Cricetulus griseus: one gene and its partner. The protein of the gene in region 2 purifies or fractionates together with the protein of the main gene of each other region. This does not show direct contact. Links are inferred from orthologs where the notes say so. Each region holds a gene or a part of one and is shown on either strand. Other genes may lie near its edges.

Region 1 (7,622 bases), on a different chromosome or scaffold from region 2:
CACCCTGGACACTTGCCTGAGCCAGGTGAGCCTCATTTCTGGGCCCCACCTGTGTCTGGATCACTCAGGCTACACTGCCTGCTTTTCAAAGTTGGCTTGTGCTTTGGATGACGGTAACCCTCCTGGACGGGTAGTCTCTGGCCTGTCACTATTCTCAGGGTTTCAGGCCTTTTCCGTTTACATTCCACACAAAGAACAATCAGTGGTGATGTGCCATCATTTCCCAGGGACAGCATTTCCCTGGCACCCAGATGCCTTCCCTTTGTTCTAGCTGGCTGGCACAAAGCAGGTTTGGAAAAGAACTCAGAATCCCCGTTGCAGCCTGGAACCAGCTCTTTCAAGTCCGAGTACCAGGGCTGGGTGAGCTGGGGGTCGTGTGTCTGCTGGCAGCACAGTGGGTGTGCACAAGCCCTCCGTTTGGGTATCTGACAAACACAGGCTCACTGAAAGGGTTCTGGCAGAGCTGGCAAAGCTTTTTTTCAGAGAGCTGGACTGCACTTCCCTTCAGCTTCATCTGCAAACAGAAAGCAATAAATAGTGAGGAGGCTGAGTCAGGGTGGATGCACATTCTGTCATGGACGATGATCGCTGCCAGGACTGCACCCCATCAACTTCTTGACACAGGACACAAGAAATGGAAATAAACAGAACCATTCTTAGTGAGCAGACAGAGGAAGCAGCAGAGTTGCTTTCCTTTTATTTTTAAATATTGATTTAGTCATTTTTATATGTATCTCTGTGTGCCTGTATGAGTTTATGTGGCTGCAGAAGCCAGAAAAGGTCATCAGACCCCTGGAACTGAAGTGAGCCACTGTGTAGGTGCTGGGGACTGAACCCAGGTCCTCTGCAAGAGCAGTAAGCGCTCTTCAACTCTGAGCCATCTATCTCTCCAGCCCCAGGAGTTAGTTTTCTTAAAGTAACCACTGTGCCTGGAAATTCCTACACAAACTCTTCCCTTCAGCATTCTCAAAGCGCTGGCTGTCTTAACCCCAGACTGACACAAGAGCATGGCTATCAGAGCTGAGTATCAGGGACCAAGTAAGACCCTCATTTGCATATAAAAAGAAGGACCCAAATCAGGGATTTGGCCACAGTCACTCAGTTAATTAGTGGCACATTCCCACATCACAATTTCATTTTTTGAAAGTTAGTAAGAAACAGTACCTGTCACTATTGGTCCTAGTCTGATAATTAGGACTTGAGTTGCATAACTTGAAGTTTCTCTATACAATCTCTCCATCAGTCTGGGCAAGTCAGTCCACTGACAGGGGCAAGCAGCAACTCAGGGAATTCTCCTGCATGAACTAGTACTCTCAACATGCAGCCCAGCAGCATGCTGGGATTGGCACTAGGGAAGCATAAATAAAGGTTCCTGTCCTCAATATCTAAAAGTAAGAGAGGAAGTTGTCAATGCACACATAAGGGGTGTGGGTAGGCAAAAGACTTAAAGCTTAAGGCTTTAAGGTGGAGAAAAAGAGTCAGGCCAAATGCTGACTGGGTGTTCACGAAGAAAAAGGAAAACTACTGCAGGTGGTGGAGTCAGCATTGCCAAGGATAGGAGGTAAGGCAGCAGACCACATGGCCAGACAGCTAAGCCAGGGCATGCACTGGGAAGCAAGAAGGAATTAGAAAGAGGTGATACTGAATCTCCCAGGCCACAGGGTCTTAAGGAAGGCTTATGTGTGGGACAATAAATGATTCCTGCTGTTTCAGCCAGCCATGTGGGTTTCCGAACTGGCCTAGAAGGTACTTCCTTCTGGGCTCTTCCATGTGACTGTCACAGGCTCAGTTTTGTCCTCTGTGCACGAGAGAGGACACCAAGAGACACCACCATGATGCTATAAAGTGCTCCAAAAGGCATAAAGAATGTATCTGGGGAGCCGCGTCACTATTCTTATAGCACTCGCCCTCCCTACACAGTTTTCCTGGTTTGTTTGAGACAGGGTCTTGCACTGAAGCCCACACTGGTCTGGAACTTACTATGAACCCCAGGCTGACCTTGAGGTCCTGACCATTTTCCTGCCTAGCCCCCCAAGTTCTGGGACGACAGTGAGTGACCCCATCCAGCTCTATAGCTGCATGATTACCTGTGTCCCAATGGGAAAGGCCTCACTGATATTGCCAGTGCAGCCTCTGCGTCTGCTCACATAGATCCCTGTATCTTGGTGGAAACACTCAATACGTGTAGAATAGAAATAAGAACTAACCAAGACCATTTTTTCATAGGCTAAAAACTCACTTCTCGTGCAAAATGGGCTTGCAGAGAAGCAAGTTAGCACAAAGGCCAGGCACTCACCTTATCATATGTGTAAATCAGGTTTTCTGACTTGGCCAGGCCAAGAGCCACCTGTGTGGTCCTCCTGGCATGGATGCTGTCCCTCATAGCCCCTGTGAGGAACGGGCAGAGAAGCTGCACTGACCAGGTATCAGGCAGTAGCTGTAGGACCTGGGTGGCATCAAACTCCCTGGAGTGATGGTTCAGCAAGTCCACAGCAGCCACAGTCAGCTCATGGGCAGAGGGGCCTGCACGGAGGTACATGGCGAGCAGTGTGTGGAAAAGGCGCTGACGGCAGGCTGCGTCCTGACCCTCAGAGCCCCATAGGCAGTAGTCCTCAGCTGCAGAGAAGTCCCCCATCTCATGCACCAGAATATGCAGGGCCTTCTCGTGCTCGCCCAGCTTCCCGTGGAGGATGGCACTTTCCATGGGCAGGCCAGCACCCTGGATCTTCTCTGTCAGACAAAATTGGCACTCAGTAACACACTGGGCTGGCTGGCTGAGGCCACCTGCTTGTTCCTACAGCCTCAGAAAGCGCAGGCTATGCAGCTACTCTAGACATTGCTAAATACTGCCACCTAGATGGTTGAGGGAGGTGGCTCCTTGGATTTTTCCCCTGGTGACTCTGAGTCATAGAAAAACTGGACAGACTCCACTGCTATGAACCAATGGGTGAGTCTGGTCTCAAAAGGTCCCTAAGCATTGCTAGAACCCTATCTTCTGGTCTGCAGTTACCATAGCATCACTCTATCTTCCGGTATGAAATCTTATGACTAACACACGGGGGAACAACTGTCCCTCCCTCTGTGTCTTCAGGGGAACTAGAGTCAAGACTCTCTCAGAAAGAGCCCCAAATTCCCTGTAGTGTTTTCCAGTAACTAACACTTTATACTTAAGATCACCTCTGGAGGACTTAGGATACAGTGTAAACATGGCTGACCGTAAGGCTATGATATTTAGGGGGACATATTTTCAAATCACAGTTGGTGGAATCTACAGATGCAGAACCCATGGATAAAGTCCAAATATCCACTTAACTCACAAAGCCATGTTCAATGCCCTTTGTTCCAATTTAAAATACGCTTCACTGAAAGGAACATGGGTTCAAGGTATTTTAAAAAATCCTATCTGTATTATCCAATGAGTGTCTGCAGATCTAAAAACTTTTCCTCTATTCCCCCTGCAGTTAAGCTTCTAGAAATGACACAGCCCAGAGGCATGTCAGTCCTCATCAAGGCTCCCCATTAGTGGGCTGATGGGCTGAGTCTCACTACCCAAGGTCACTTTGCTCCTCTGTGGGCTATGAAATAGGGAACAACACAAGATCTTTCCCTGCTGCAATAGGATAATCTCAGGCCAACTCTCTGTTGAGGGCCAAGTTTAATACTAAATGATAGGCACTGGTATCTGTAGTTTGGCCACTATGGGCTGCTCCTCAGGCCTAATTCCCGAGGCAGATATTACCAGCCTGGAGGTAACGGGCTGGCTGTATAGCCTGTGTCAAGTAGAGCAGCAGCCAGACACCACAGCACACATGCATTGCCATTCTGCCCACAGTGGAATGTCAGGAAACAATTACTAGGAGGCTGCCATATTTAAGGCACAGACAGAGGTACAAAGGTTAGCAGATGGGAGCTACACAGGTTCTATGCTCAGACTATGACGTTCAAGGGCATGAGCATCGCAGATCTGGGGAGTCCTGGGGGCCCACGTGACACCTCCAAGGATACTGAGTGATGAAGGTACTGAAATCATTAGAAAGACCTGAATCGTGGGTGTTTTAAAGCTCAGTCCAAAACTCATCAGGACAGCTCTGAGGAAAGAAAAGGGGCTCAAGGCTCAAGGAAGCACCCTATGGGACCCAAATGTACTCTGGGACAATGGCTCCCAGCCCCAGCCCCAAAGAAGTCTCTCACTGGGATGCAAAGCTTATCCTCACCTTTCAACAAGTGGACGTGGTATGAGTCAGACTTCTGGAGCAGCCTCCGGAGTTTGACCTGAGTCTCAGTGGCTTCCATGTCCTTGCTGCCAGTGGCTACCCTCTGCCTCAGCACTTCTTCCAGGTAGAGGGTGGCCAGGTGGGTGTGGTACTCTTCTTTCTGTAGAAATCAGGGATGCGCCAGACACAGTGTTTACATGAGGGAGGCTGTGCTGGATTCTTAAACATGGTGGGCAGGACACCATCAGGGCACTGGAAAACCCCCAGCAACCCCAACACAGAAGAAGGGATTACTTGCTATAGCGTGGATGCTGAATGTGCCCCCAAAGTCCATGGGAAGCTACTGGGGGCAGTGGGGATGGAACCTGGAAGGAATGGAGCCAATGGGAAGGAGTGGGACCACAGCAGGGACAATGGAACCTCAACAAATGCTCTGCTCTGCCCTCCTGACTTTCTGGTCATGGCACTGCCCTCTTCTGCCAAGATGCTTCATCAAAAAGAATGGGACAACCTGCCACAGATCAAAAGCTCCAGGGTTGTGGGGCCAAACAAACCCCTTCCCTCCTTAAGTTAATTGCCTGGGGTATTTTGTCATATGATGGAAAGAAGACTAACACAGGTGGGGGGGGGGGACACATGAAGGGGTTATTATCATTCTGGTATTCTACAAGTGATGTAGCTTCTCCCATTTTCTTTGAGGATGGTAACAAAGAGAAGTGGAGTGGTTATGAGACTGGAGATACAAACATCTACCTAGTCCCTCCCGGTTGTTTCCACTAAGGCTCATACTCCCTCAAATAATCAACAAGAACAGATGGAGTGACCGAGGGACACCATCAGCCCCAAAAGCGACAGTCAGATTCCTTATCCTAAGTTGTGAATGACTTTGTAGCCTGCCAGGGACCTTGGTCCAGCCTCTGAGTGCTCACCTGTAGTCTCCTGTCGATAACAAGATGCTCCAGATATTTAACCAGGGCTTTAGGATATTTCTTAAGGCAACGAATAATGTCATCTGGATTAAAACTAGTCTGTTGCTGCTCATCCAGGGGTCTCTTGGTGAAAACTTGAACTCCGATCTGCAGAAAGAGCAGCAATTCAGTTTTCTCCATCTTTCCTTTAGTAACTTAACATTTATGGTTTGGCTAACTTCATGCAGAATATGCTGATGGATTAAGCAGGTGCAGCTTCTCATACGCCACACTCATCTCAAAAATATGGAAGAAAACAGTCTAGCAAGAAGTCCTGAGAAAGACCAAACAAAGGACACAATGCAGACAGGAACAAGGCCAGCATTTTGAAACAATCCCCACTCACTGCTGGGATTTCTCGTAGAATGGTTGGCAACTGACGAATGGAGCAGTCACTGGTAATAAATAGGCTTTGACAGCCATGCAGCAAACACTTGTGTTATTAAGCTTATCCTAAATAGAGACTGTCCCTTGCAAAGTTTAAGAGAGAAAAAATCCAAAAAGAATGAAAATGCAGTGTACTCTTGGTTCTCTGAATGCATTGTCTGGCTAGGGGATTATTTCCTGTGCTTGGCTAGTCCACCATCTGAGCCTGTCATCCCTGAACAGCTTCCAGGCTGCCTTCCCGTGTCAGCAATGAGGAGCACTCTAGACCGATCCTGCCTTCTGAGAAAATACTAAGAAGACCATTACTCCTTGTTGGGTTCACCGTACACTTACATGTGCAAGTATTATTGCATGCCCACAGGTTTACATGCACACATACCACATAACATCTGAACCCCAAACACGAGAAACACGACCCAGCTCCAGGTATGGATTTGTGTCTCAGCTTTGCCTGTCTACATGACCTTGAAAAGCTCTGCTATTTGTTTGTTTTTTTCCTTTTGTTTTCCGTCTTGTTTTTAGGGTTTTGTTGTTGGTGGTGGTAGTGGTTGGTTGGTTTTTTCAAGGCTTTCTCTATGTAGCTCTGGCTGTCCAGGAACTCACTCTGTAAACCAGACTGGCCTTGAACTCACAGAAATACACATGCCTCTGCCTCCTGAGTGTTGGGATTAAAGGTCTGTTAACCCCATTTGTGAACCTTGCTCTTCAAGAAATGACAAAGGTCAAGTGGTGGGCCACGATGTGGCACACAGAATCTGTGCATTTGGTTATGATTGCCCAGTGAGTGGATAGAACTTAACCCTTTCAATGACACTGTATCCACACCACAAGAACATGTGCTGGTGTGTTCTGTAGGCATGTGTAGGGGTAAAGGAAGAATGGAAGAAAAAATATACAAGGAGGGGCCCATGAGCTGGCTCAGCAGGTAAAGTTACTTGCTACCAAGCTTGAATATTTGACTGGAGTAAAATTTGACTCCAGTCAAATATTCAAGGGAAATGCTTGGAGGAAGATGAAGACCTCAGCTGTCCTCTGTCAATCATACATACAAAGTGGTACATATATGTACATGTATGTGCACAAATACACACAAATAAATGTAATTTAAAAATGTTTCAATATAGAAGGCATAAGGGCTCTGACCTGGCTCAGGAAGTAGAATGCATAGCAGGAGAGTCTGCCCTGCCCTGCCTTGAACTTGTCTGATCTTGTGTCTCCAAGGGGGGCCAAGGAAATGTTATGCTTGCTGACTTTGTGAGAGTGACCTGTGGGGCCCCATTAAGGTCTGTGTCCTTCTCTCCTGAGCATGCTGCCTGTCTTTAGAGCAGTGGTTCTCAACCTGTGAGCTGTGACCCCTTTGGGGTCACATATAAGATATTTACATTATTATTCATAACAACAGCAAAATTACAGCCATGAATTTTAGGGTTAGAGTCACCACAACATGAAGAACAGTATTGAAGGGTCTCAACATTAGGAAGGTTGAGAACCATGGCTCTACAGCCAAGAGCCAACAGTTGCTTTTTCACTACTATATTGTTTCAGACTCCAAGATGAGGCAGGTCATGGTCAGGCCACTTCACACCTCCATGTCCAGGGCCTCTAAGTAAGAGACAGAAACAGAAGAGGACGGTGCTCTTCCTGATGTGGCCCAGTTGGGGTCTACTTCTTGAAAGACCAGGCTGTGCAGGTCTTTCCTGGGAGCAGGGAACAACCTGCTCCCATCCCAGAAAACAAAATGCAGACTTCTGTTTCCCAGCAAGTGAAGAGGGAACTATAGAGTGTTTTCAGAACACCAGGAGCATGCTGCAGACTAGGGAGCATGCTTCAGACTAGGCAGTTTGTATTTCTAGAGAGGCATCTGCAGGATCTCAGCAGCAGCACACTATGGCATTTGCTCTTGCACAAAGGAAGGGATTCAAAATGGTACAAAGTAAATGGGGAGAATGAGTGTAGCTTTTTTCCCCTTCCACCTAAAGCTGAGGGGGCTTAGGTGTCTTTTACCAGCCATTCTGAAGAGAATGCATTATGAAACACAAACCTCCTCACTTTT
Region 2 (6,492 bases):
TCCATTTCAGAGTCTAGTGTTAAAAACATTTCGGTAATAAAATCATAAGACCACATAAAAATAAGCTTTAACATATGCATGAAGCAGTTTTGTAAAAACTGCTAAGTGCACAAGTAATAAATAATTTGCAAAGTTGTGTATAAACAATTCCTAATGTTCGCATCGTTGTAAACATCAGCACGTGTGTAAAATGCAGCAGAGTCTAACATTACATTTTTTGTTTTGCCAAATTGAATTCCTATTATCCAAAGATAGACCAGTGGAGTACGCAGCCGATGTTTTGGCAAGTTGGGTCTTTAAAATTAAGGGTAACAGTGCAAGTAAGGAATGCACAGAATTCCTAGTGCAACAAAGAAGAGTAGTGCAGCCAATATTGCTGATTAAGAATTCACCACCTCCTTGAGTTTCCCGTGGGGAGTGTCTAGGAGACCCGTGAAAGATATGCAAAGCCACTGTCTTAATGCCCAGATCTCTTGCAGGATCTCTCTGTGTTCCTCCAGTCCCCTCCCTTTGCAACCGTATCTGCCCACCATTAGTCTCTGTGGTGGGAACATTTCACCAAGTGCCCAGGTCACAGTTTTTGAGCGAGGTTAGGGTGATTTCGGTGTCTCCCTGGAACAGAACATGGCTGGGAGAGACGGCTGTCGAGAGGGCGACCACAGTTCTGTTCTGACTACTGGTCAGGCCAGCATTAGGTCCCAGCTGGACAACGACAGTGTTGACTCTTCCTTCTTGACACCGTGAAAATGTCAACAGTCAGTTTTTAATTTGTCTAGGGAATTATCAATTTTGGTCAAAGTCTTTTTGATACGCAGAGCTGTGAGTCTTGCAGATGGGTTCTGATACCAGCATTCTTTCATAAGCTTCGCCAGGGAAGTTAATGTCTGGGGAGACAAAAGAAACATCACACACACTGGCTTTTTAGTGGTGCTGGAGACCGGGCAGATGTTGTGTCAATTGTTTTAAAGAACCCTGAAGGTCTTGAGAAGCTGGCCACAATATAGCCGTCTTCTTTAAGCAAGTACTCAAGGCCTTAGCACCAATGGAGAAGCCATGCAGTGTTCTCTGAACTTCTTTTGGAACTTACTTTATCAGATAAATGCCATGGGCCAACTCACAGCCCTTGGATTTTATGGCTGCTAAAAGTAACACCACTAACTCAGAGATAAGAGTGAAATTGTAGAAGTGGTCTTGGATATGCTACTACTATGAGCACCAATTCAGGCTCCTCAGCATCAAGCAGCCTGCTTTTAGAATCTCAGGTAAGCAGAGATGGTCAAGAGTTAATTACCATCACGCAGTCTCTTGGTTTACACATACAGCTGCAACTTTAGGCAATGGCAGTGAGTGATCTCGTTCTCAACACTGGTCACACATGGACACTCATGTGACTACTGTCACTCATTAGCAACCGATTGGGCTTCTTCAAGAACTATACCACTTTCCAAACCCATGCAACTAGGCTCTAGGAACCTACATAAAGACATGTAGAAGGGTAGCTGCATAGTGCACACCATGTAAGCTCCAGGAAGCTAATAATTGCAGGGATGAACTAATAACAGTGTGCTTACCGGGTCTGAGAACCATCTGTTGGGTATGTTTGGCCTCTGTTGATCCACACAGACAACTTTCCTCATATCTTCAAAACTTGGATCATTGGGAACAACATCATAGAATGGTGGCTTGTAATCTTCCACTATACCTGTGTAGACCAAGATGAGAATTATGTGGGTTAGCAGGAGAGTTTACAATCCCCTCCCCAGGGTTTCACTGCTGTGTATCATTGTCAGGAGTTACAATGGGACAGGATAAAGTACCATTCATCTTTTTCCTATGTCAAGGCAGCTTTGGAAGCCACAGACAGGCCCAAAAATAAGTTGAGAGCAAGGCAATAAATATATACCCTGCAGGAAATCGGAAGTATGAGACGAAGACAGAAAATCCTCTCATGAAATCACAAGTACTAACATAGAGCTCACAGCTGTCTGTAATTTCGGTTCCTGGGGATCCCACACCCTCTTCTGACCTCCATGGGCATCACACACACACACACCACACACACACACACACACACACACACACACACACACACACACACACTCCACATGTTGCACAGGCACACATGGGCAAAATACTCATGCACATAAAGTTACAGTTAAAAAAAAAAAACTTTTTAAAAAGTATCTGCCAGCATCAAGAAGGCAAAAAACAAATCAAGACCATCATCCAAACCACTTTTTTTGCTAGGAAGTTATTTTGTCCAAAAAGTCATCGCTTTCAAATAATGCCATGAGGGGCATGCAAATAATATGATGTGAGGTCCTCATTTCCCCATCACTCACTCTGCACACAGGCATGTCCTCAAACTACTAAGCTTAAGTGTCTGTTTGGTGATTCCTGCAGTCATTATCAGTACCTATCTTTTAACAAAGAAGATGAATTCCACAAATCAATTTAAAATTTCACCATATGGAATTATCAAAGTGACCGCCCTCTTACATTCAAGAACCAGGGAAATTACTACTTGGTTTTCTTCATCAACAATGCGGTCAGTGACTAACTCAGCGGCTGGCCCTTTTCCTTCTTGCGCATAACTCACTTCTATTCCTAGACACACAGGCGCGGCTGCAGGGGACAGAGGGAAACTGTGAGTAAAAGGTATAACTAAGCTTTTGCAGTTCTTGCAAGCCCCTTAAAAGAGCTTTAATCCCCTTTTCGTTTGTCACAGAGGTTAGTGAGAATCCACTCGGACCAATTTCACATAAATACAAACCACTTATGCAGAAGCTCAGAAATAAGGAGCAGCTGCTCTAGAAATACTACAGGGTTTCTAAACCTCACAGAGTTTATTTTTAAAATGGAAAGTAGTCTAAATTGTATCTTAAAAATTCTAGTTGACACTTTGTTAATTCTAAATAATGTAGCCATGTTATTTAGTTGCATCTGGGATATGGATGCAAATTAAACCTTTCTTGGCAAACATCAATTGCATAAACCATGGCTCACAGGAGGTGGCTACATTTTCTCCAAACCTTACCTATTTCTCTTGTAAAGATCCCGGAATACTTTCAAACAAAAATGTCTTCCGTTTTCACTTCTTAGAGAAATCACCCCAAACACAACTGAACATCAAGCTATTCCATCTTTTGTGGAGCTGGATATGTTCACAGGAAATGGACAGCCAAAGTGCTATTCACCATCTCTCCATTTATACACTGGGATACACTACATAGACTGGCCTAATTCTTTAAAAATGTAGCATAATCACTGGCTATTTGAGGGTAACTTATTCAGTTAGCACCAAAAGGGTTATGTGAATTTGCGCAGTAATGCAACACACACACACACACACACACACACACACACACACACACACACACACAGACACAAATCAAACATAGGTGTATATTTAAAACATAAGACTTAGTGAGTCCAACAATGCACACTGCCATACAAAACCCTAGTCTACTTGTGTTTCTATTTTTCATATTTTGAGCTTATTAAATGTTGTCATGTGTTAACAAAAGGAACTGAGATTTTCAAACAAAGACTACTTAATTCAATGTGAATGGAAACCTCAGTCATGTCTCTCTTTCTTCAGTCATTGGCTCAGACTCATGATTTCCATCTGACTCTGGCTATGCTCCTCAAAAAGATTAACTAACATAAAAAAAAATACTCTGGGATTAAACTGCAACGGTCTTCTTCAGGAAACTCACTTTGGTACAGAATGCCATTTTTCCCCTATTGGTCAAAAATGCTTTGTATCTATTATGAATGAAATGTCATATTAAATATGTTACATGCTGAGAGAAATCACCATCTAGTGGAAGATAGCACAAGTATCTCTTTTTCCTTTAGACAATATAAATCTTGTACAAAAGTATCTGAAAAATGTTGCTTGCTGGTATGTGTTCATACTTGGGAGGGGGTTGTATAGAGCTAGAAGTCAAATCCAGGTAATGTTATTTGAGTGCCATCTACTTTTTTGTTTTGCTTTTTCTGTTATGTCTTGTTTTATTTGAGACAGTCTCTCTCACTGGTCAGAAGCTTGACCGGTAGACTAGGCTGGCTGGATAGCAGCAGGCTCTGGAGACATCCCTGTCCCTGCCTCCCCAGCACAGGGACTACAAGCATGCACCATCATGCTTGTACATCTATGTAGTGTCCTGGGATTGAACTCACATCCTCATGCAAGTGCTGTACTTGCTCCCCAGCTCCCTCAACACCTTTTCACAGCACTATTTGCTTTTACTTGGAAGGGAGAAATCTTATGTTTATGTGTTAGCTCCTATATAGATTCAATAGTCATTTGATCCATTAACTGTGTATTAGAGGCTGAGCCTGGCAGCAGGGATACAGAAATGAGGAAGATGGAGTATTGGTGATGAACAACAAAACAAAATAATGGCAAACAGATGAAAAGAGGAACATCAACTAGTATTACAGACAGGAGCAATGGGATAGAGCTCAGAGAAAGGGACATGTGTGGTTTCCTAAGTAGTTTCTAGAAACTGGGTGGTGTCATGGAAGCGAAGATGTTCCAGGCAGGGGGGCAAAGATAAGTAAATATGGGATGCAGAAAAGAGGCCAGGAAAAGAAAAACCACTAGAGAGAGGGTATTTTCCAGGTGTAAGGTGTTTACAGACCCCAGAAAAGATGAGAGAAGTCCCCTGTGAGTGAAACTGGTGTATGTGGTAGACAGAATCGGGAAGGCTAGGGTGGAGGGTGGACTGAGCATTTAGAGTGTGCTAGATAAAGACTGACTGACTTAACAACTGCTCCTCACCTTCTGCATGAATGTGACAATCTGTTTGGCTAAGCAAAAAAGTGAAGCATGAGTCCCAAGGATGCAGCACTGGATGAGCTTTGCCACACCCTGAACCAGCTGAGAAGATACCAAGAATGAAGGAAAACAACTAAAAATACACACCTCTAATCTCAGCATTCTGGAGGCAGAGGCAGGCCAAGCTCCATGTCTGAGGCTAGCCATGTCCAAGGCTAGGTGCCATAGCTAGCCAGGGCAACATCGTGAGACACTGTCTCAAAATAACAAACAAAAGAACAGATAGATACACAAGTGCCAAGTGGGTGGTACAGACAACAAATGATAAGAGGGATTCAGAGAAGAGGTGACATTAGACAGTTGTCAAAGATGAAACAGTCAGCCCTGGCCTTCCCATTAAGGCTGCTGGTGACTCAAAAGGACATGGACAAGTAGATTATTCATAACTTCTTCCCCCACAGTTTTGGGCATGTTCAGTTAATTTGTATAACTGGTGTCCATGTATTGTGCCCCTGCCCCCTGGGGGTGCCACATACCTCTAATGGAAAGTTTTCTGTTCTTTGAGGCAAATCTGTCTTTCCCAACAGCCCTAGCTCTAATACGCTGCATGGCTCCGAGGAAGGCCCTGAGCTCTCATGCCACAGTTTTCCAAATCTTTAAAATATACATTACAAAGATCATGTGCAAATCAACAACACCCACTCCAGGAAGTACTAAGAACAGCTGTGTCCAGAAATAAGAGCTCCCTGGAGATTCTGTCATGGTGGAGGCCTTAGACCACACCCACACAAAGGGTAGTTTGCATAGTTTATCAGCTTCACATAGCCAGTTCCTGGTCAGTCTGGGATACCAAAGTGGGGAAGGAGGATGGAAGGGAGGGAGGGAAAGAAGGAGGGAGGGAGGAAGGAAGGGAGAGAGAGAGGAGAGGGAGAGAGAGAGCAGAGGGACGGAGACAGGGAGGGAGAAGGGAGGGAAAGAGGAAGGGAAAAGGAAGGAGGGGTAGGGGAAGGGAGGGGAGGAAGAGGGGAGGAGAGGAGGGACAGGAGGGGAGAGGAAAGGAGAGAAGAGGATTGGATCCAAGAGCCAATATGAAGCAAATAAATAAATAAGTAAATAAATTACAGGACATTGGTAGAAGTTGCATTTGGATAGGCAAAGAAATCATGTAGGAATATGTGTATGGGTGAATCCTCGTGTGATGGGTTCACAATAGGACATTCAGTATTTGTGTTACTTTATTTACTATGCCTCATAGCACAATGTCAAAAAAAATTAATACCATGGCACATATAAAAGATGACTAAGGCATAAATGGAGTCGTGCAGAAGGATGCCACCCAGAAGGCCCTGGCCCTCTCAGCCCTTCCTCATGCCAAATAAGCAAGGAAGAAGTTTGGATTCCAGAGCTCCAAGGATCTCTCAGTCTGAGTTGTGGTTGAGGGACTGTGGACCTGAGTCCTGGAGACAGGAGACCAGGAACCACAGCTGACAATTCTGAAGGTAGGTGGTGGAAGCACAGCTCTGCTCCAGTCTAGGTAAAGGATTGCCTCCACTGTAATTCATGGTATATGGAACCATATGCATCAAAGTCAAAACCCAGTCTCATGGAGGTCAGAAGCAAAAGTCAACAGCCTATAATAAAGTACTTCGAAGTCAGGCATGGCTAAAATATTAAGCAATATTATCTTAAGATGTCAGAGGGGAGAG

Evidence for each region. Proteins that work in one complex are often made in the same cells at the same time.
Region 1: the proteins of Acvr1 (region 2) and Tgfbrap1 purify together in Homo sapiens (co-immunoprecipitation; 3 studies listed by BioGRID and IntAct, counting the BioPlex papers as one, with this or other methods). This does not show direct contact. The link is inferred for Cricetulus griseus from reciprocal best matches to the Homo sapiens genes ACVR1 and TGFBRAP1.

Annotation. Positions count from the first base shown.
Region 1 is NW_023276807.1:5,438,997-5,446,618, reverse strand, and holds part of Tgfbrap1 (transforming growth factor-beta receptor-associated protein 1), read right to left. Parts: coding exon 7,611-7,622; intron 5,291-7,610; coding exon 5,144-5,290; intron 4,375-5,143; coding exon 4,215-4,374; intron 2,731-4,214; coding exon 2,297-2,730; intron 515-2,296; coding exon 338-514; 3' UTR 1-337. UniProt on the Homo sapiens protein: Plays a role in the TGF-beta/activin signaling pathway. It associates with inactive heteromeric TGF-beta and activin receptor complexes, mainly through the type II receptor, and is released upon activation of signaling.
Region 2 is NC_048599.1:116,424,226-116,430,717, reverse strand, and holds part of Acvr1 (activin receptor type-1), read right to left. Parts: intron 1,703-6,492; coding exon 1,572-1,702; intron 885-1,571; coding exon 750-884; 3' UTR 1-749. UniProt on the Homo sapiens protein: Bone morphogenetic protein (BMP) type I receptor that is involved in a wide variety of biological processes, including bone, heart, cartilage, nervous, and reproductive system development and regulation.